Rhinolophus ferrumequinum: one gene and its partners. The protein of the gene in region 1 interacts with the protein of each later gene in a biochemical or structural test. Links are inferred from orthologs where the notes say so. Each region holds a gene or a part of one and is shown on either strand. Other genes may lie near its edges. The genes, in order: HTRA2, MAPK12 and CSN2.

Region 1 (7,750 bases):
AGGGATTGGTGCTGGTGGTTGAAGGGACCTGCCCCCCACACTGGTTCATTTAATCCTCTGTCCAGGTGCCCTCAGAGCCTAGGCCAAGAAAGCAAAGTGGAAATCAGAGCAACAGCCTAATACTCTTGCTGATCCATTCATTCTGTGACTTCAGGGGTCACATATAAGGTCAATGTTTCCGGTCCCCGCCGGATCCGCACTGCCAGCTGGGATTGGGTTCGAACAGCTTCATAAATATCTTCAGCATTTTGTACCAACTGCTCCCCAATGGCCAAGATCACATCGCCCGGCCGCAGACCAGCCCTATGGCGAAAGGTGGACAGAGAGAAAGGAGGGAATAGATACCCCAGTTCAAGGGTACATGCGTGTCTCCGCCCCCCACCTCAGTGCAGTGTCTCCCTCACCGGTGTGCAGGGGAGTCCAGGATAACTTTATGGATGAGCACGCCGTGCTGAACATCAGGAAAGCTTGGTTCTCGAAGCTGTAGTTCAGCAAGGATGCTGGAAAGACACAGACCACCCTGTTATCCACACCAAGATGCCCTCTCCATCTCAGGTTCACCTCAAATCTCTCGTCAACACACTGACAATTGTATGCACTAGGTACTCCAGATAGTCAATTCATTTTCTGCCTTCTAGTAGTTAGGAAGTGGGACGTGTATACAAAAGTTACCTAATTCCAAATGACACAGTGTTAAATCAATAGCACGAATCTCATTCTAAAATCCTAAGAGAAGCTTTAAGGAGGGAGTAGAACTGAAGCTGAGCCTAGAAGGATGGGTCTGATATTTAAATATATAAAACAAAAACAACAAAAATAAAAACCTGGGAGTAGGAAATCAGGTTGGCTGAAACAGAATACATTCATGTTAAGAAGCCAGGTCAGGAAGGTTGAATTGGAGACAAATGGAAAATGGCCCCTAAACACCAGGTTAACAGATTGAAGGTTTTAAATCAAAGCAGTAATAGGATGAAATCAATCTGGTGGCAGGTGTGCAAAATGCAGCGTGATGAGAAAGTCAAGATGACAAGAGAGGACAGCTCTTCGGATAGCTCCAAGTGTGAGGCAATTCACCACAGATAAACACAGAATTGAGAACAAAGCTCAAATGAAGTGGCAAATGCACACGACTGAGTACACTGATGGTCCTATGTGTCATTATCCTTAAAGCTCATACCTGGGAGTCAAGGTCAACATCATCACCCCAATGTATCGGCGCTGGGACCCACTGATTCCAAACCAGGAATCTATGATAAAGAGAAAAATGAGCCCCACCCAGCTACATTCTTCCTTCCCCTCCCTCTCCTCCCAATACACCCCTCTCCAGCAAGGCCCCATGAATGCCCTTCCCACAACTTAAGCCAGGCTCACTCTTCTTTTCCCCACGATGCAGAAACTCTCGAAGGCGATCAGAAGGGATGGCAAAGGAGATTCCAGCTGTGACCTTCATGGTATTCACCCCGATCACCTCCCCATCCTGCAGGGACAGAGCCCACTGTTCCCTAGCCCAAACAAATAGTTGGAGATGGGGGTACCTGAACAAGAGTAGCAGGGAGTGTTGGGGAGTTTAGGAGATCTGGTTGGGTTCTGGGAGGTAGCCAACAAGGGACTGTTCAGAAACTTGACCAAACATCATTGAATTAGGGAAAACCCACCCCGACCCACACTGACCTGGGCAGGGATTCTTGGAAAGGATGACCCACTCACCAAGTTAACCAGGGGACCTCCAGAATTTCCAAACTGCAGGACAAGGAGAAAATATGGAAAAGATCCAGGGATTCTTATGCCTGGGGGCATAACCAGGATGTAGGCATTTTCTCCAAATTCTTTTCCCAGCCTATGAATGAGTGGCCACATTTTTGTAGCTCAACCTGAATATATAGGCTCATCCACCGTCTCTCCCACTTGGTGCCTGCACCACACAGTCTATACCCCTCCCCCAACCTAGACTGTCAATTCTCTCATATCAGGACGCACATCAATAGCTGCATCAGTCTGGATGTATTCCACATTGGTTTGGGGGAGGCCTAGGTCTCTGGCTGGACGCTGAGCAGAGCTGACAATGCCAGATGTGATCGTGTTCTGCAGTGCAAACGGACTTCCCATGGCAACAACAAACTCCCCTTGCCGGACATCCGCTGAGCGTCCCAGGGGCAGTGTGGGGAGAGGTTCCTACGGGAGAATGGGTACAAGGGACCTGTCACCTGGCGATGCAAGCAAACAGCCCCAACCAGACCCGGCCTGCTCGGATCCCCACCTTGGTCTGAATCCTCAGCGTGGCGATGTCTGCCACGGGATCCACAGCTGTGACCATGGCCTCATACGTGTCGCCGCTAGGCAGCCTCACACGGACTCGGCGCCGATCAGCTACTACATGGGCGTTGGTAACGATGAGCCCGTCAGCAGCCACCACGAATCCTGAGCCATTCGAGATAGGCACTTCGCGGCCTGAGAAAGGGTGCCTGGGATAGGGGGAAGGCACGGTGAGGAGCTCGTACCCCTCCTGCTCGCCCGCCCTCTTGCCCGCGGCTTCGGTGCCTCCAGAACTACCCCACCGTTACCGGCCCAAGATCTCGATATAAACCACGGCAGGTGCCGTCTTCTCCACCACGTCTGCGATGAAGTTGTACTGGCTCCGGGGAGAGGTGGGTGGCGAGCCAAGGACAGAGGCAAGGACAGCCGGGGAACCCCGACCCCCGCCCCACAACAACAGCAGCACTGCTCCTCCAGCGCCCAGTGCCACCGCTAGCCACACGCGCGGACGGGCTCCAGGGTTCCCTGAGTTCTCCCGGGTCTGGGGACTTGGGGTCCCCGCAGTCAGCCGTGCTCGGGAATCCGAAATCCCGGACGTCAGGCATGTCCGTGGTCCAGGGACCCCTACAGACAACCGGACCCGGAGCCTGGAAGTCCCATAAGTCATTAGGGCCCGAGGATCAGGAGTTCCTGACATCAGTAGGGCCCGGAGGTCAGGGGTCAACAGGGGTCCCTTCCCCCAGCGAACCCCCCCCAAAGCCCGCCATCCCCAGAGTCTCCAGCCTGCACCCCGCCCCGCCCTCAGTGCAGCCATCAGCTCCGCCTCGGCTGCCTCCTCGCCCGCCCTACACAGAGGCGGCGCCCTGGATGGACGTGAGCTGGCGGACCGTGGGACGCGTGGCACGCTGGTACCTGAAGTCCTCTAGAAGTGCACGCCGGGACCCGGATTATTCCGGGAGGCCGACTCCGCCCCCGCCCCGTGAATGCCGGGAATTGTGGTCTCTGAGGGACGCGAGCACTGAGGTGTCCCAAGGGCCCGCGAGGCATGCTGGGGCCGCTAGCCCTTCCGGGGCGCCTCAGGATTTCGGGTCCTGGCACCCGAGGCCCACGCCGGAAGACTCCTCCTTCCCAGAAGCCCCTGCGGCGGGGCACGAAGATGGCGGCAGTGACCAAACACCCCTAAAGCAGCCGCGATGGAACCTCCCCCGGCACCGGGGCCGGAGCGGCTCTTTGACTCGCACCGGTAAGACTCCCGGCGGGAAGAGGCCGGCTCCCGCGTCCACTCGGCCTTCGGCCGCCCGATCACCCCACCTCTTGCCCCCAGGCTCCCGGGTGACGGCTTCCTGCTCCTAGCGCTGCTGCTCTACGCGCCCGTCGGGTTCTGTCTCCTTGTCCTGCGCCTCTTTCTTGGGATCCACGTCTTCCTGGTCAGCTGCGCGCTGCCAGACAGCGTCCTTCGCAGGTTCCGACCCGGGAGCTCGGGGAGGGTCAAGGCTGGGCCGGGCCGACGGCCGTGCAGTCAGCACTGCCTGCGTCCCCAGGTTCGTGGTACGGACCATGTGTGCGGTGCTAGGGCTCGTGGCCCGGCAGGAGGACTCCGAACTCCGGGATCACCGCGTCAGGGTCCTCATTTCCAACCACGTGACACCTTTCGACCACAACATAGTCAACCTGCTCACCAGCTGTAGTACCGTGAGTGGGGGGCGAAGCCGAGAGTGCCACGGGCAGTTCCCTGGGGCCCAACATAAGGCTTCCCTCTGCCCGCCCGGGCTTCCCTTGGGGACCACGAGATACTGCGCCTTAACGCTAACCCCGCTTCTCTACCCCAGATGTCAGTTTTTATCACTTCCCAACATTCTTCTTGCTTTCTCTCTTCCCTGTTCCCAGCCTCTACTCAATAGTCCTCCCAGCTTTGTATGCTGGTCTCGGGGCTTCATGGAGATGGATGGGCGGGGGGAGTTGGTGGAGTCACTCAAGAGATTCTGTGCTTCCACGAGGCTTCCCCCTACCCCTCTGCTGCTATTCCCAGAGGAAGAGGCCACCAATGGCCGGGAGGGGCTCCTGCGCTTCAGGTGGGTGAACGAACACAGGTATTTGACTCTGACTGGGTAGGTGGTCAGGCGTGGGGGGCCCTTGGGTTTTTCACACTTCTTCAGCCCTACCCCCTCCATTTCTAGTTCCTTTCTGTCCACTTTTGGTTCCTTCCCCTGAATCCCTATATTCCTCATTCATCTACTTGGTACACAGTTTGACAGTTTTCTGTTTTAAGTTAGATATGAGCTACTAACTGGACTGGCTGAAATCCCGTCCTATTCTCTCTTCCCTCTTCTAGTTCCTGGCCATTTTCTATCCAGGATGTGGTACAGCCTCTTACCCTGCAAGTCCAGAGACCTCTAGTCTCTGTGGTGAGTGTGTCTTGGATAGGGACTCCCCGGGGCTTTGGGATGAAGCTTCCCAGTCCCGGCCTGACTTAGACCTCACTTCGTGCTTTCCCCTCAGACAGTGTCAGATGCCTCCTGGGTCTCAGAACTGCTGTGGTCACTGTTTGTTCCTTTCACGGTGTATCAAGTAAGGTATTAATTGTCTTCACTTTTTGGTGGCTGGGAAAAGCTCACCTCAAGATCAAGGAAGTAGTTGCCTCTGCCCTATCCATTTGCAGATCTTTTTAATATCAAGTTTCCAACACAGAGGCAGTACAAAGTATTTATTCTCTCCCCACCCTCACCACCATAGTTCCATGAAAAGAGGAATCAAAGTGGGGAAGAGGGTGACTGCCCCAGCTGCCCTCAACATAGCCCTGATTGTTTTTTTCAGGTGGCTCCGTCCTGTTCATCGCCAGCTGGGAGAGGGGAATGAGGAGTTTGCCTTCCGTGTACAACAGGTGGTAGCATACAGAAGCAGGCTGGAGGTGGGGTCTCTCCTTAGACGGGGAGGAAGGCTTGAAACCTTGACATTTCCAACCTTCCAATTCTTCCTAGCTGGTGGCCAAAAAATTGGGCCAGACAGGAACACGACTCACTCCAGCAGACAAAGCAGAGCACATGAAGCGGCAAAGACATCCTAGATTGCGCCCCCAGTCAGGTGTGTGGTCGCTGTACACAAAGCTTTTCGTTTTTTTCCCAGCCTATTATGATTTCTTCCCTATTCCTGTACTAGTCAGACTCTCCTTCCTACTCATTCTCCATTCACCATATTTCGGATTTCTTTTTTGCAGCCCAATCTTCTTTCCCTCCCTCCCCGGGCCCTTCTCCTGATGTGCAGCTGGCAACTCTGGCTCAGAGAGTCAAGGAGGTTTTACCCCATGTGCCACTGGTCGTCATCCAGAGAGACCTGGGTATGGGAAAGGGTAGCCTCACAAAAGAAGACAGGGACAGAGAGGACAAATGGGTGGTGAGGGAAAAGGATGAACAGCGCAACAGATCCCCTTTCCTCCTTCCCTTCTCCCCAGCCAGGACTGGCTGCGTAGACTTGACCATCACCAATCTGCTTGAGGGGGCTGTAGCTTTCATGCCTGAAGACATCACTGAGGGGACCCAGTCCCATCCCGCAGCCTCTGCCCCCCAGGTGAGACCCAGGAAATGGTCCGATCCAAGACTTGGGGTGGGATGGGGCACTCTACATACTCCCTATCCCTGATGTCTCTTTTTTGATCCTGAGACCCTAGCCCAGTGCCTCTCTTGCAAAGTAGGCATTCGATGCGTGTTTAATGATGATGACTTCGCAAGCCCTCTGACATTGTGATCACCTCAGTTTCCCAGCTCTGGCCCGGTGACCCCTCAGCCCACAGCCCTAACATTTGCCAAATCCTCCTGGGCCCGGCAGGAGAGCCTACAGGAGCGCAAACAAGCACTATACGAATACGCAAGAAGGTGAGGGGCTTCGAGGACAATGGGTAGGAAGGGGCAGGTTGGAGAAGGAAGCTAATTACAGAACTACTATGACAAAGCCCACACAATGTCTTCTCCCTATGTCCCACAGGAGATTCACAGAGAGACAGGCCCAGGAGGCTGACTGAGCACAGGATGGTACCCAGAGCCGCAGGACGGAGACTGGGGGCAGCCCTCACCCAACTCACAACAGGCCTGATGGGTGGGTGGTAGAAAGGGAGGGATGGGCCTGCCCCCAGTGTCACATTAAATTCAGGGTTTTCACTCAAGGTCTCTGTTGCCTCTCTGGGTCTCAAAAGCCTCCTGAGCACGTTCCTTTTCCCTTGGTGGGGGGGGGGATAAGGTGGTCCTTGTAGGACTGTGGGGGGATGGTCAGAATGGAACTGTCTGAAATCACCTCCTCGTGTCAAAATGAGTGATATTAAGGAAGTGTAACAACTGAAGACCAAGCAGCAACTGGACCTAACTGGGGTGTTCAGCCCAGGTTTGTGCAGAAATAGCAGCAAAACTACACGTCCCAGGATGCCTTTTACAGTACATGGTGTCTGTAAAGTTAACACATGCTCAGTCGTTGCTGGAGCCTGTTTTCTATAGGCTCCTGACTAGGTTAAATAAGGTGGAGCAAATGGTTCCACCCCAGAACCAGTCTTAAGAATTATGTTTGAGCCAAGCCCCAGGGTGGGGCCGGAACTTACCTTTGTACTTAGCGCTGGTCAAGGTTGGTGGGAACTGGCTGGGCGGGTCTGGAACTGGCTGCCATCGGGACACGTCTCAGAGCTGCAAGCAGGTTTGAATCCAGGATCCTTGTGGCCCTGCTCCTCAATTCCAGCCCCTTATTCCTTTTCCTATTCCCTCCCACCCCCAGGGACCTTCCCACGGGTCTCACATAACTCCTGTTGCCGCTGAATTACAGAGATTCACAGAGAGACCCAGGATTTGTACTACCTGGCTACAGGTTAATAGTCCCTTTTGATAGTCCCTTACTTGGAGACTCAATTCTCCACCGTTTCCTGGCAGGCAAGAAATGCTGGAAAGAATGGATTCCAGTGCATTACCAGCTGAGGGTACACATTAGGGATCAGGGCTGAGGTGGTAAGATGGTACAAGGTTTTAATGACTACCCCACCTTCTGTAGGTCCTGCCAGTCAGCCACCATGGCCTCTCAGCTTCTCAGGCTGGCAGAAGAGTCTGGCCTGAGCCCTGGGGAGTCTGAACTGGCTGTGAACCCTTTTGACGGGCTCCCCTTCTCTTCCCACTACTACGAGCTTCTTGAGCAGCGCCGAGCCTTGCCTATCTGGGCTGCTCGCTTTATCTTCTTGGAGCAATTGGAGAGTAGCCCCAGTGGAGTGGTACTGGTGTCTGGAGAGCCTGGCTCTGGCAAGAGCACCCAGGTGGGGGGGGGGGATTCTGGGAGTAGACAGGAGGGAGGGGCCAGGGAACTGGCCCTTCCCTGGCAAGCGGGGATTGGGCTGCCAGGGATTATGGGGGAGGTGGGCAAAGGGAGTCTGTTAAGGCTGGCCCCAGGGTGGTAAAGGACCAGGACACTCCCCCCAGAAAGAAGACATTAAACTGGCCATAGCTCCCCTAGCACTTCTGACTGAAGTCCTGTG
Region 2 (6,919 bases), on another chromosome or scaffold:
AAGCCCCCTGCAGCTGTCCCCATCGCTCCCCACTGTGCGCAGGGCCTGGCTCTACCTACTGGCAGCACTGACGTGGCCCTGGCACACCTGCCAGGCTATTTTGGGACAGTGACAGCCGGGATCCTCAGGGGAGGGGCGGCCCCCTAATCTGGATCAGCTCCCAGCCGTCCAAGGAGCTCCAGTTCCTTGGCCCTTCCTCCCCTTCTTCCTGTCCCCATTGAAGACCTAGGACCAGGATGGGGACAGCCTCCCAGGGGAGAGCAAACATCCGGCAGGTACTTCTCAGGGCTGTGCCTCTGCTGGAGAGGCCCAGGCAGGCAGCACTATGACCAAACCAACAGTCAGACCTGGTCCTGCAGACCCCTGGTCAGGACTGAGGGACAGCAGACAGGTAATGTGACAATGGGAGCCCAGGGCTCAGGGTGACAGGGTGTCCAAGGACCCAGTGAGGCCTGCATATCCGAGTAGCCGAAGGAGCACGCTGGTGAGCCATGGGTGGCAGGGACACCTGGCAGAGGCAATGTGAATGGTAGCGGAGGCAGGATGGAGAACACTTGGAGCATCTGAGAAACATGGTGAGGAAGGCCAGGTGGCCGAGGGCCAGGCCAGGGAGTCACCACGCAGAGATCAGAGGGAGCCTAAGCAAGCCCTCACATGCCAGGTGGAGGTTTGGGTTTGGTCCTACAGCCGCCAAGAAAGGGTTTAAACAGGCATTATGTTGAATGTGGGGACAGACCGGAGTGAGGCGAGAGTGGACATGAGGTGAAGGGACAGCTAGATGACCACCAGGGCCAGAGCCATGAGCAAGCGGGGAGGAGGGAGCAGAGCAGGACACCCAGAGAGGTGAGGCCTGGGGCACTGGGAGAGTGTTTGAGCAAGAAGAGGACAGAGGACAGAGTCCCTGAGATTAAGGGGCCATCAGGTTAATGGAGACTTCTGTGCCTCTGAGGTAGAGATGGCAGCCGGAGTGGGGGGGAGGGGCAGGAGCGGGACATGTGAGTCCCCACCACCACTGCAGTCAGCCTCTCAGAGCCTCAGTGTCCTCCAAGGAAAATGGGCTCACGATAGGCGGCGCCTCCCAGCTTGTGTGCAGGGTGCTCAGGACATGGCAATGTCCAGTTTGGGCAGGTCAGGAGCTCCACAGGGATGGTAAGACCCTTGGCACAATGGGGGCGGCCCCAGCACAGATGACTGAACACAAAGTCCAGAGCCCTTGGGACGGGCAGGATGGGTGGTGGGAGTGTGTGTGCGGGGGGGCGGGGGGGAAAGCCAAATGAAGCCTGGTAGAGGAAGGGGTCAAGGCACAGGCGTGACCAGGATGTAATAAAGCCCAGGCTGCGCTGGTGTCCACCACGAGTGGATGTCACCTGGGAAGAGCCAAGGGTGGTGATGGGAAACTTGGGAGAATGAAGGACCTACCCAAGGGGCTAAGAGGGTAGGCATCAGCCAGAAACCCAGGGGACAAGTTTCCTGGGGACTCCTCATCCCGAGGGGAGGCTGTGGGCTCCAATGACCCAGGAGGGGCCAGACCATATGTCAGGAGCATGATTAGCCAGGGCCTGGGTGCCCAGACCACAAGCCCTCAGACGGCCCAGACTGGGCATGAGGCAGGAGTGGCTTGGGGAGTGGGGGTGGGCAGAGTTCTCATCCCCTGGGGGAAGCAAGGAGAAATCCCATGGCAGAGGAAGGCTCTTAGCAGCCAGCAATGGCACCAGAGAGGCCCATGGCAGACATGTGTGGTGTCCCATGGACAGGTCTGGAAGCATGGGGGTGGGGGACTTTCCCAGGTGGGGGCCCAGGTCCAGCCCTCCACACTGTCCACAAAACCCCAGCCAGAGCTGTGAAGGAAGCATCTGTGTGCTGGCCACTGGCCCAGTGTCCTCCACCACCGGAGACCCCAAGGCTCTGAGGTGACAGAGCCAGGATGCTGACTCCAATTCCATGCCTAGCTCTGCATTCCCAGGGACCCCAGGTCCTGGGGCTGCTGCTCAGGAGATGGACTGGAGCACGGTGAGTTCAGGAGAGCATCTGGGTGAGGCTGCGGGGGTGTCCCTTCCAGGAAAATAGCTCCACAGAATTTGGGGTGAGACCTGGACAATGGCCTCAGCCTGGACAAGCGTCCATCCCCTCACCAGGGCCTGGGCTGCGGAGACAGACGTGACCCCAGGAAGAAGCAGAGGCACCTTCCCAAAGACTGGCCTGGGAGGAGAGGACTAGACCCCAGGGAAGTCTCTCAGAAAGAGGTGGGCTCTGCCCTCACCACCTGCAGCCCCCACCCTTCTCCAGAGGCTGCCCTGACCCCCACCTACGCGGCACCACACAGGGGGTCCGGGTAGGTGGGACCTGGAGTTTTGGGGCAGGAAGACGAGCAGAGGCGATGGACGGGTGTCCAGAGCGGAGGCCCAGCGCGACTCACGTTCTCGTGGCGCATGTGCTTGAGGAGACGCAGCTCTCGATAGGCGCGCTTGGCGAACAGCTCCGATTGGAAGGGCCGGTACAGCTTCTTGATGGCCACTTTGGCGCCTGTGCGGCTGTCCACGGCCGAGCTGCGGGACGCACGGCTTAGCGGGAGGGTCGGGCCAACCCGCCCGGATACCCGCCAACTGGCCGGCCACACGGCCGGCCACCCCGCCCGGCTTGCGCTCACCAGACGGCGCCGTAGGCGCCGGAGCCCACGGGCTGCAGGTCCTGGTACACCACGCGCACCTCCCAGGTGGTCTTGGTCACCTCCTGGCGGTAAAAGCCCCTGCGGGCGGGCGGCGGAGAGCTCATGGCCGGACCGGGTGCCGGCCCCGCCGCAGACCCCTCGGGCGCCGCGCCCGAGCACCGGGCCGGGATCGGCGGGACTCCCTGGGCGAGCGCCCGGGGCCACCGCGCGTTTACTCCGCTCCGGGTTCTTTCCTCCGGTTCGCTTGAGCCGCCGACCCCGGCCCGACCCCAACCTTGCCTGGGTAGCGCCCTGTTCCTCCCCTGCCTGCGGACCAACCGGCCCCAGGGCCGCGCGCACGTGATACCCCCGCCCGCCCTCCAGCCTCTCCGGAAACCCGAGGCGGCGGCCGCCGGGAAGGCGGGAGGGGGTGGTGGGGGGAGCGCCGCCCGCAGCTCAGCCCAACCTCGGACCGGACGCGGCGTCTGAGACCCGCCGCCTCCTCAGTCGGGCTGAACTCCCCCGCCTGCGCGTGGGGTGTCTTAGCAGGGGCCCCGGTCTTACTAGCCCTGTCCCCAGGGCGCTGAGCCCACAGGACTTCTGTCCCCAGCCAGGTCACTGCCCACCCCCCATCCGACCCCCCCCTTAGCTGAGCGCTGTGTTCCCAAAGTCAAATCCCCACCCCCAGGAGGCCCCCTTCCCTGTGCTGATCCGTCCATCCCCCAGTATGGGTGCCCCTTCCCAAGGTGGGTAGTTGGTTCTGCCTCCCGCACTTAGGCTGCATCCCCAACACCCTTCCCGGTGACCACTGACCCCAGGCCTCCCAAACCCTGGAGCTGGAGCGTGTGGACCTGTGCACTGCCAGTGCTCTTTGCTTCTCCTCAGTTTGGCAGGTGGGAGCCTGCTCCAAGCACTTCCAAGTTCCTCTGCCTGCTCCCCCCACACACAGCTTACTGCCCCGTTTGTCCTTCAGAGCCCTGCTCCAGCCTCTCCGTTCGCTGGGGAAGGTGTGCCTGACCCCAGGGGTGAAGCAGGGCCCTACCCTGGCTCTCAGCACCTCGCTACTCCTCCATGGGGCACCATCCTTTCATGAGCCAGGTCACGTCCCCATCCTGGACCAGCCACTTTTGAAGGATAGAGCCCCCAGCCCCTTCCCACATCCTCTCCCAGCCCAGTGACCCAGGTCTGAGAGGGAGCGGGGTTACAGGACCCCGGGGCCCCTGCCCCGCCCTCTGTGCCCAGCCAGCCACCATGAATCAGCAGCTCAAGCCCAGCCAGCCAGCTTTACACCTGGTCTGCCGACTGGCTGGCGATTCTGAGCACTCAGGAGCTGGAGACTAGCCAGTGGGGACAGCCTGGGGTTACTGGAGCCACAACCAACTGTACCCCATGCCCTCATGTCCTGGGCTGCCTGTGGCACTCCACCTGCCTCGGCCAGGAAGCTCCCACCTGGCCCCCTTACTCTCTGGTGCGGCCCAGCAGGGTTCCCATTCAGACCAGACCCCCAGGTGGGGCATCTCAGCCCTGCTGCCATCCCCCACCCCACACACACAAGACTTGGCCCAGCTTGATCTCCAGGTTCCCCAAGATCTGAAGCCCAGTAGTCCTGCTGACCAGGCCCCTAGAGGTCCAACTCCCAGATGGTTTCCACCTCTAAAGCCCAGGGTAAGGACACAGAATGTCCCTGCCGTGGAGACACCCTGCCTGACGCCCATTGGGGCCCAGGCCCTCCCCCACCTGAGCTGCAGTGAGCAGTAGAGGCCAGTAGCTCAGTGTGCATCTGGAGAGCTGAAATGATCCTCTTTCCCCTTAACTAGGAAGGAAGGCTATTTCCTCCACCCCACCCAGCTCCAGGCAGGGCAGGCCTTCGTGCCCGGCCGCCTCCCTGACCACTGAGTGAAGGGGCAGTCTGGATCTGGACCAGGCGCTGAGCCTGTCCAATGAACCCCCAGCAGGGCAGCAGGCTCGGGTGTGGGAGGCCATCACACTCTGCCCCTCAGGGCCCCTGGCTGGGTAAAGCACAGAGGGTGCTGAAGATCTGGGTACCCAAGTGATCTGGCCAGTGCAGGCCTCTTGTGGGTGCAGGCCAGGCCAGGTGGGTGTGTGATGCAGAGACCTGGCCACCCCTTCGGGCAGTGGGGGCAGCAGGGCAGCTCTTGAAGCCTGGGACACAGCTGAACGAGGGGGAACTTCCTTTATTGCGAGAGCCTGGTGCGTGCCCTTGACACTCAGACCTCCCTGGGTCCTGCGAGGTCACCACCTGACAGCACCATCTGACACAGAAGTCCCTCGAGGGAGGACCCACAGCCCCAATGCGTTTGGAGCAGGGTCCTGTCCCAGAGGTGACTAGGTCAGCTCCATTCTGGCGGGAAGGATGAGGGCCGACCCGCAGACCAGAGCACCTCAGCTCTGAGAACAGGCAGAGGTGTCTTCATCAGCTCTGGGCCAAGGTCCAGGGTCCGAGTCCAGGTCCACCTCGATGTGTGCCAGCCCCCTTAGCGTCCCCCCGGCCCCTCCCGTGCTCGCTAGCTCCCCAGCTGGCACCGTGCCCTCATGCCTCAGAAACTCAAGGAGAACGCCCCAGCTTTTGCTAGCATGGCTGCACCTTGCTCACCTGAGCCCCTCACAGGGTGCACAGCAGGATCTCAGCAAATCCCCCATGACATCAGAAACTGGGGGGAGGCAAATATAGCCACCCCAACTTGAGCCTCCAGCTGGTCATGGCCACTAGCCCTCAGGCACCCACAGACTCACACATGCCTGCACACACCTTGACATGTAAATACCAGGACACACATTAGTGCATTTGTACCACACAGCACAGGGAAACACGACTCCAGGCGGATTTTCTGATTCGACACTTGGTGGCTGTCCCTGCCCTGACACCCTCCAGGGGAGACCCTGCCCAGCAACGACGGCTTTGGATCTCAGCATTTCCCAGGCTGAGCAGCTCTGACCACTGAGACCCCTCCTCTTTTGAGTCTTCAGAGTACCCTGACTCCAATGCACCACCCCCTAAAGGTAACCCACGGACTGAGGAGACCTGGAGACAGACACACTCCCCAGGGGGATTCCCTAGGCATCCAGGCCCCCCCACAGTGAGGCTCCAAGGGAGGGGGCAGGAGGACCAAGGAGGGCCGGCATGCTCGGCCCAGACTCCTGCACCCACGGCTGGCACACATGCAGCATCCCACCTGGAGCATCGTGCTGACCAGGGGTCCCAGGCCACGGGTCAAGGCTGCCAGCCACAGTGGTGCTGGGAGGCACCCCTGTGGGAACCCGGCAGGCTGAGGAAGGGGGGCAGGCAGGTGCAGTCCCCTCCTTGAGTTCCAGTGTGGCTGGCCGGCAGTGTTCCTGTCACTGCTCAATCTCCAGACTGCCAGACGGCTGCTGTGGTGGCTCTGGGGGCTTAAAGCTGAGGACTTCCTGGTAGGTGAGCTCTGGAGGGGAGTGAGGGGAAAGCTGAACTCATGCTTCCAGCAGCTCAGCACTGCGCATCTGCTTGTCTGGTGCCAGTCACCCAGCCAGGCCCACCACCCTCAGTCCACGGGCCTTCCAGAGCCTGCCCCATGCTTCCCCGGCCTCTTCTGGACACACCAACCCCATCTCTAACCGCCCCACCCCAGAGCTGGGGGCCACGTTGTGCCCCTCCCAGACCACCCTGAGGAGCTAAGGCACTTCCCGCACAGGCCTCCACGGGAAGGCAGCCCTCAGGCCCTGGGTTTCACCTCTCCCACCCCCGCCCGGCCCCCCTGCCCACCCTTCCACTCCTCCACAGTGCGGTCCTTTGCTTCAACGCTTTCATCGTAGGGCTCGGCCTCGGGCTCATCATCCGGGTCATGGTACTGGCTGAAGTAGGCGTGGGCCAGGGCATCGGCTGCACTGACCCTCTGGTCACTGTCCAGCACCAGCATCCTTCCCAGGAGGTCCACAGCTGCAGAGTGGTCAGGGGAAGGCAGGGGCTGGAGGGCAGCTCTGCATCCAGGGCCAGACGTGGAGCCCAGCCCAGACCCAGGGCCCATCCTCACCCAGGGGGTTGGCTCCACAGAAGATGCTCCTGAGGTCCTTCTGGGGCATGGGGGGCAGGGACTGGATGTATGTCCGGGCCTGTGGGCACATGGAAGGGCCTGAGGGGGCTGCTCACACCCTATTTACCCTGGCCCCAAACTAGGCAGGGGCTCGTTGAGAGAAAGCCCCACTCTCATGCAGTCCAACAGGCCTGGGCAGGGACCTGCATGGAGCAGAGACCACCTCCTTTGCCTCTGGTGGCTC
Region 3 (7,932 bases), on another chromosome or scaffold:
AATGCAAATTCTCACTTCTTCAGTTTCCTCATCTACAAACATCTTTAAAACACCATATGGATGATATTTGGAGTTTCTTACAGTTCTTATTTTCTGAACATTTTTGTTCCCTTTAGTGTACTCTTGATCTTGCTTTTCTATCTGCTTTCTTTCTTGAGGGTATTATTAACAGGCTTCAGCTATTACCTTTGCACTTCTACCAAATCTCATGCCTGAATATTTCAGATATGTCACCCAATATGGGAAAGAGCTTGGGGAATAAATTATATTTATGACAAAGAGTCCTAGAACATGTTGCTTTGATTATATTTTGTTCCTCACCTAGGTGTCTTATAAAATTTCAATAGATGAAATTCTTATTTTCCTTATAAAATGGCAACACAAGTTACACATCGGGAGAGCTTGGGTTGCCCACATGGAACCTTGACCCTTACTTATGATTGTGTTCTGATGCTTATGTGGCCAATGGCACCTGGTGTTACTTAAATCTCTGGCTTTTCAATTTTTTATTGGATAAACCTTTTTCTCTAGTGTATTGTTCATGATTTCCTTGATCTAGGTTTTGCATACATTTCCGACCCAAATAAGTCCATAAGTATACTGATTACTGTAATTCAAAATTCGTGGAAAAGAGTCACAAGAAAATGCTGTATTTATTGCACAGTATGTAAGGCGTTTTGCTGATAAAATGAAAAGGAAATATTGAATGGGTAGGGCATGCTTGCTTTTGTATTTCTTTTCTTAGAAATCACACATTTTTGTCTGTGCTCTTGGGAACCAAAGCTAATACATAGGGTGCACAGGGCAGACATGGCCTTTTCAGTTGGACCTATGCCACGAGGGTTATTTCATCATTTCTTTTCATGGCTTCCACCTTGCTCAATACGAACATAGTCTTAGAATAAATATTAGTTGAATAGTTCAAATTCACAATAGACACTGACTTGGGCTTTCTAAGCAATATAAAATATATGACAATTAGGAGTGTACTCTGCCCTCATACATTTAGCATGATATGAATGCAAGTGATATTATGAAGGAAAATCATCAATTATGCCAATATTTTACTTAACCTACTTACTTTGGAAGGGCATCTACCTGTGCTTAAGTCCTGAATATATCTATTACAGGTAGTGAACAGAAGAAAAGAACATTGTGAAAATGAGTAATGTGAAACACAATCAGCCAATTACATGTACGAACATCGATCACTAAAGAGACAAAGAACTTGAAGACTGCTTTTGTAAATAGGCACATATTAAGTACTTTTGAGGCCTGACTCCGACTATTGGGGTACTTTGGGCAAGATCCTGTTCTTCTCTGGGCTTCACTTTCTTTTCTTCCTTCCGTCTTCTGTTCTTCTATGAACATTAGCTGATAAACATTGAACTCACTACAAAATTAGGAGCCCAAACTTGAACAGTCCCGTTTTATTAACGGGCACTGCTATCATTTGTTCTACAGAAGTAGTCACTCTCTAAATGTCACTCTCCTTCCTAAAACCCTTCAACAAATCCCCACTATCCACAGAATAAAATTCATGTTCCTAAGGAGCACAGCATGCCTTGCTCTTTCTCTAGTCTCATTCCATCTACTCCCTTCCTTGAACTTCATGACCCTGATTCACTCCTTGATTTAGTTGTGGTTACTTGTTTCTCATATCCAAAACACTCTTCTTCCTTTCCTTTTAAGTTATAATTCTCTCCCCTCCTCAGGTCAAACACTTCTTCTTCTGGCCTCAAGGTCATTCTCAGGACTCAGGGCTTCCTGAAGATCCTCTTGCCTCCCCTATCCATCAACTAAAATGAACTAGGTATTTCCTTTGTGCCTATTGCCCCTTATCACAGCTTTATTAAAATATGTATTGCATTTCACAACAAGTAGGTTTTCATATTTGGTTTTCATCTTCTCAAGGACAGGAACTATGCCTTTTTATTTGTTGTTGCTTTCTTGGCAACGGGAAAAATGCCTGGCAAACATAGCATTTAGTGTGGAATATATTTCACTGTTTACTGTCAACAACCTTCATGTTCACCTATCTTCAGCGTTCTGCATGCATGACTATTCTTTGGATCAAGTTATCATCCAGAAATTCTCTTCTTCTCTGATGCTGAAATTCCCATCTGATAAAAAGCTCAAATCTCTATTTCTTGAGATTGACCAATCTCATTAGGCCTGGTTTTTGTCTTTTTTCCGATCTCTAGTCCCTCAAGCATTTTTTAGTTTTCTGGTTTATACCTCAACCTTCCTTCCCAGCTCAACCAGTATTTCATGACTAGTTGTTTTAACACAAACACATTCAAGCCCCTCTCTCCACCCCAACAATTCTCTTGACCTATTGATATACTGCCACTATCTTGCCATAAATCTACTTGGATAAGGAAAATAATCTGAGGTCTACTCTCACCTAGTTATTAGTTACTACTGTGGATCTTGTTACTCATCTTTATTTTCACATTAAACAAAAATGTTCGCTATTTTGAGTATCCCAAACCCATAAACACTTCCCTCACTAAGTTGAAAACCCAATCCTCCACCTCACTGGAAAAGTAACTTTCTACCCTGCATTTCAAAGTATGTATTATATTTACTCATCTTCTCCTCCTTTTCTCCTGTGTCAGAAAACCTGGTACAGTCTGTACAGGTCTAAGTCTTTTGGCTGTGACCCTGATCCTACTGGAACCTGCTCCATGAGTTTATTCCCCTCTCTTTGGTATGTTTCAGCAGTTTCTCACCCTTGACCTGTATCTTTTAAGCTACAAATCTCTATCCTAAAATTACCTTTCTGTGATCCTGGTTGTCCCTATAGTCACAGATACCATTCCATAAGTTTCTTTACCCCCTTTTCTTAAATCTCAGAAGAGTAATGCTACTTTTAATTCCTCCCACATTCCTTAGTTCTGAACCAATTGGAGTATAGCTCAATGGTTACAATGATAATGATTCCAGAAATCCAAAATATCTTCTTTGTTTCCACTTTATTCCACATCTGTGTAGCGCTTTCAGTCTTGACTCCACTTGTTTTTTCCTAACTATTTCCTCCCATCGTTCCCATCACCCTCTACTGCCTTCTCCTCGATACTCCATATTTTTCTGATTTGCTTTTGCTGCCCCTGAATCACAGGGTATACTTGAGTTCTATTCTTCGACAATTTCTCTTCTCACTTTTCCTCTGGGGAAATTCATTTATTGCTTTGTCTTAAAAAAAAAGTCATCCATACAGTTGCACTTCTCCTTTGAGCATCATATTTAATTCACAATACCTCCTGGACACCTTCAAATTTACTATGTGTAAGATATCCTCTTTCTCATTTCAGCTTGGTTTCTTATCGTGGTTTATTCCATGTCTTGCTTTTCAATTACCCAGGCATATTCTGTTTATCTATTTCCCCGATTTCTCACATTTCTCATATTTTAATAAGTTTGTCTTCCTGTTGCCTGAGATGCCCCGCACCATGTCTCCAGTTGAGGTCACCAAAACGTTTGTCTTAGACTAGTATAATAACATGATATAACAACCTCCTCTACTAGGTTACGTGAGATATTGCCATAAAGACATACAACCCAAGAAATTTTACAATCCTTCTTTCTTTCAAATCTCCAATATCTTTTCTATTTCCAGTGAATTATGTCACATTGCATATCTGAAATTTCAAAAGCATCCATGATCTGACTCTGTCAAACCCTTACAACAGTAACTTATAGTATATAATCTCTGTGTATCTTAAAACACAAAACCCATCAAAGTTGGTATTTGGCTCTTCAAGCACTATATTTACTTCAGCCAGATACTTTATTCTCATTGACTCATTTTTCAAAATTCTACACATTCTTTTAAGTTCCAACTAAAATAATGACTTCTGAAAGACCAGCTTCCTCTTCCCACACCCGTGCCACTTTCCTCCAACCCAGACATAACAAATCTTACACGTTTAAGCCCAAATGTTAAATTCATAGCTAAATTTTGTAACAAAATCTCAGGAGGTTAAGACATGGGCATTGCATAAAATCAAATAGAAACACATGTAATCAGAGAGATCTGGTTTTAAATGGTATTTTGCCATTAACAAACAATATGATTTTGGCAAGTTACTTAAACTTTTGGTGTCTCAGTTTCTTAAACAAAAATATGGAGAGGAGAACAACCACATGATGTTTTTGTGGCAATAAACAAGATAATATCTAAAAGTGTATAATGCCTGGCAAACTTAAAAAAAAGCTATTATAATATCATGCTTGAAAGAAAAATAGGTAACCAATATTTATCAGGTAACTAAGTCTCCATGACACCTAGCAAAAGTTTTATAATAGATTTACCAAGGATTTTCCCTATACCAGACATCCAGATACCTTTTCTGAGATGTTCCATTTCAGAAGAAGGTTATTCCTCTCGTGTACAAAATATTGGTTCTAAGTAAATGATTTATTGTTTCCAAATGAAATGGCCCTGAGATCTAAGCCATTTGGCTTACATGACTAAGGTGTCATGGATTTATGTTGTCAGTTTCTCCATTGCAGCATAAAACACTAGCAACTGCTTAGTTAACGTGAAATTGCTTGGTGAAGCTCCTGCATATCTCACAAAGAATTCTCAAACAGAGCCTAAGAGACCTAAATGTGTCCTCAGTAACTTGGGGACAGGACCAGATTGTCAGTGTCCTCCAGTAATTGTCTTTAGTTATTAGAGGGTTGTGTTTCCTGGACAGATTTCCTTTATCAGATGTGAATTTCCCCCTTGTTAAACTTTTTCCCAGAATTTCTGGATACAGATATTAGGCAGAAATCATTTTCTAATCCTGTGAACTTCTTAGAATTGAAACTCACTATTGATTTTATTTCAAACCACAAAATTAGCATGTCATCAAATACAGTATATAAACAGCCACAGAAGTGGATAGACCATCATCCACTTAGCTCCTCCATCACTTCTTGTCCTCCACTTTGGATAAAAGGTAAGAATTTCAGATATAAATTTGATGTATCCCTTCTATAGGTTTATTTCAAACTTGGTTGAGATATCTGAAGAAAATATTTGCTTCAGTATAGTTTTGAAATAAGGGTACTTAAAGTAGCACTCACATTATTTTCAACACTTAGATTTAAAGAAGTAGAAGTGTCTATAAATATTTGTAAAAATTATAATGACCACATAAGCTTTATGAGTCTAAGAAAATGTAGTAATAGCGGTTACAGTTTTTTTTTAGTACAAGGCTAGTTAACAGACTATATTAAAAGATCAATTTCCTGAATTAAATGTCTTCCAATTTAATTAAATATACCACAATCATAAAACTAAATATATTTAAATTATTATATGGGATATGAATAATTATTGGGAAAGCTTTATCCAAGGTAGCTTATAGAGGTAGCATATTGAGTTAAGAAATTGTGGGAGTTGTTTGGGTACAGGCACTACTTGAACTGTTTATGAGTAATTTTTCTTAGAATTTGTTTACAAAATGCATCAAATTTGTAAACAAAAATTTGATCAAATTTGTTTACAAATTGCAACATCTCACTTTATTGTTTGATATGTAATATTTCAAAATAATATTAAAATGAACACGCAATACAGAATTGTTAAAAAGGAACAAAGTATTTTGCTGTATAAAAATATTCTAGAAGAGACAGGGATGACTTGGAAACAAAAACAAAGGAAAAAGATTTGAAGGGAAGAGTACCTTAGAATATATTATTCAATAACATAGTTCTGGCTTTAAAATTGGTATATAAAACGCTAATTATAAAACATAGAAAATACAATAGAATCTTTCCTACCCATTATAATGTCTAATAGTGTAACATAGTCTTCTTTTAAACCTGACAATGAAAAATTATTTTGAAATTTATGGAGGTGTTAAGCAAAGTAAAATTAATAAAGAATTATATTGCACCCATGAGAAAAATCTAGAAAAATATATTTCTTCCCTGATAAAGAAAATTATTTTCAGCTTTCAAATATTGGAAAGAACATTTTGCAGGTGAATTAGGGACTTTTTTCATGAAACATTTTTAGTTCAGAAATTTAGTTTAAAAATTTGGGATTAAAGATTGTATGTCAAGGGATATTGGGGACATAAACATTATAGGAATTTTAAAAAATGAACCATTTGGTACCTTTTGGTCAAAGCTGTTAACATATATTTTATGTTATGCTACAAGAAGTGGTAGCCTGGAGTGGGGACTGGGCAAGAGAACCTGATCCTTGGGTAAATCATTAAGAGATCAGAGAGAAAAGAAGAGCCATCATGTATGGTCTCTAAAGTTATATGGCACAAAGGAGAAGAGACATCATTAGGTGTGTGCCGATGAAGACTGTGTAGTGGGTATAAATAGAGAAAAAAAGAACAAACAAATCAGTTCACAAAAGCATCTGGATAAATGGAGCAAATAAGAGAAATGCTCAAATAATAATCTGTCTTATTGGAAATAAAGAGATATGTTTAAACCAAATAATCATGGAAACTGTAACAGAAAGGTAAAAGTAAAATAGGATCTTCTTCTATGTATACATTTTCTTTGATCAGTCTCTTCCCAATAGAACTGAGGACTCACCAGGGCTGAGACCTTAATATTTTGTTCTCCGCTATAATCCTAGCACCTAGACAGCATCTGGCAATAAAGGGTGCTAAGTAAATACTCACTTTTGAATAAATGAATCAATTGATAAAGCTTTCTGCAAATATTTATAAGTTCTTTCTGGCCTTTTAAAAAAACAAAACCTCATAGTACAGTGAATGAGATGAAAAAATGTGAGATGGGATAGGGTTGATAACTGAAAAAATCTGAATGGCGGCCAGTGAAGTATGAAATTGATATGTAAGAGTAAAGAGCCATAGTAGATTTTGACCTTGGTTATATGGTAAACTCCTATTAGTGTTTTCTTCTAAAATGCAGACATTTTAATTTTATATTATTTTTGGATTCTTTAAAAGAAAAGTAGCCCTGCCTAAATAAAAAATATTAGATTGACCACTATATTATATTACCATTCCCTCATTTTCCCATTCACAGGACTTGATAGCCATGAAGGTCCTCATCCTTGCCTGCCTGGTGGCCCTTGCTCTTGGTAGGGAGGTAAGAAAATCTCTATATATTTAACATATGGACTATCTGTCCATGTGTAGAGAACGACATCACTAACATTTTAAGTGTACAAATAAAGCAGAATTTTAACAGCTTTTTTTTTTTTTTTTTTTTTTTACTTCTAAGAAAATCATTTATATTTACCCACTATTTCAACAGTGTCCTATAAAGACACAAATCTGGGTTAAATGCTTTCTACACCTGTGCCACTAATGGAAAAATGAACGAATCAATAAGCAACAGACAGAACAAGAAGAAACAAATATGAAAATGAAAACAACAAAATAAAATATTGCACAAGTACAATTGCATAAATGTGTAGCCTAGATAAATATATCTTATTCTCGTGATGAAACTTACGTACCTCTTACCCTAGGGCACGAGGCCAAATCCTACCTGTGTCTATCCAAAGACATCCAGAGGATGGAATATCAGACCATAATCATAATCATAAACATGTTTTTAATCATAATATAACTATTTAATACAAATTAAAATAACTTCTTTTCTGTTACCCTTAAAAAAATTGTTCTTCATTCAGGTAAAATTAAAATATACCATTAGAGTCACCAAATATAAAAGACATAAAAACGATTACCTTTAAAGGCTCTAACAAAAGACATTAACATAAATAACATAAATAAAAAATATATTTCTTAAATTTGTGAACGAGATAGCTCTGCATTAAAAAGGTAACAAGGAGGAAAAATGTTTACTAATGAGCAAGCTATGGAAACCAAAATGGTGTTTTTCTGTTTTTGTTTTTCTTTTTCTTTACAGAATGTAGAATTCAGTGTATCCAGTGAGGTAAGATATTTTTATTCAGAGAAAATTTTTCAACCATAA

What was found.
Region 2: of the proteins of HTRA2 (region 1) and MAPK12, one has a biochemical effect on the other in vitro, tested with the Homo sapiens proteins (2 studies listed by BioGRID and IntAct, with this or other methods). The link is inferred for Rhinolophus ferrumequinum from reciprocal best matches to the Homo sapiens genes HTRA2 and MAPK12.
Region 3: of the proteins of HTRA2 (region 1) and CSN2, one has a biochemical effect on the other in vitro, tested with the Homo sapiens proteins (2 studies listed by BioGRID). The link is inferred for Rhinolophus ferrumequinum from reciprocal best matches to the Homo sapiens genes HTRA2 and CSN2.

What each region holds. Positions count from the first base shown.
Region 1 is NC_046296.1:17,529,228-17,536,977, forward strand, and holds HTRA2 (serine protease HTRA2, mitochondrial), read right to left. Parts: upstream 3,090-7,750; 5' UTR 3,068-3,089; coding exon 2,562-3,067; intron 2,463-2,561; coding exon 2,258-2,462; intron 2,173-2,257; coding exon 1,978-2,172; intron 1,741-1,977; coding exon 1,672-1,740; intron 1,478-1,671; coding exon 1,372-1,477; intron 1,248-1,371; coding exon 1,178-1,247; intron 501-1,177; coding exon 405-500; intron 304-404; coding exon 138-303; 3' UTR 106-137; downstream 1-105. Other genes in the region: lipid droplet-regulating VLDL assembly factor AUP1, read left to right, coding at 3,447-3,496, 3,578-3,715, 3,795-4,325, 4,586-4,658, 4,753-4,826, 5,068-5,134, 5,232-5,334, 5,468-5,587 and 3 more; ATP-dependent RNA helicase DQX1, read left to right, coding at 7,238-7,531.
Region 2 is NC_046293.1:440,125-447,043, reverse strand, and holds the start of MAPK12 (mitogen-activated protein kinase 12), read right to left. Parts: upstream 3,083-6,919; 5' UTR 2,773-3,082; coding exon 2,648-2,772; intron 2,547-2,647; coding exon 2,417-2,546; intron 1-2,416. Other genes in the region: MAPK11 (mitogen-activated protein kinase 11), read right to left, coding at 6,005-6,087, 6,408-6,581, 6,676-6,754. UniProt on the Homo sapiens protein: Serine/threonine kinase which acts as an essential component of the MAP kinase signal transduction pathway.
Region 3 is NC_046288.1:28,004,970-28,012,901, reverse strand, and holds the start of CSN2 (beta-casein), read left to right. Parts: upstream 1-4,899; 5' UTR 4,900-4,952; intron 4,953-7,014; 5' UTR 7,015-7,026; coding exon 7,027-7,077; intron 7,078-7,866; coding exon 7,867-7,893; intron 7,894-7,932. UniProt on the Homo sapiens protein: Important role in determination of the surface properties of the casein micelles.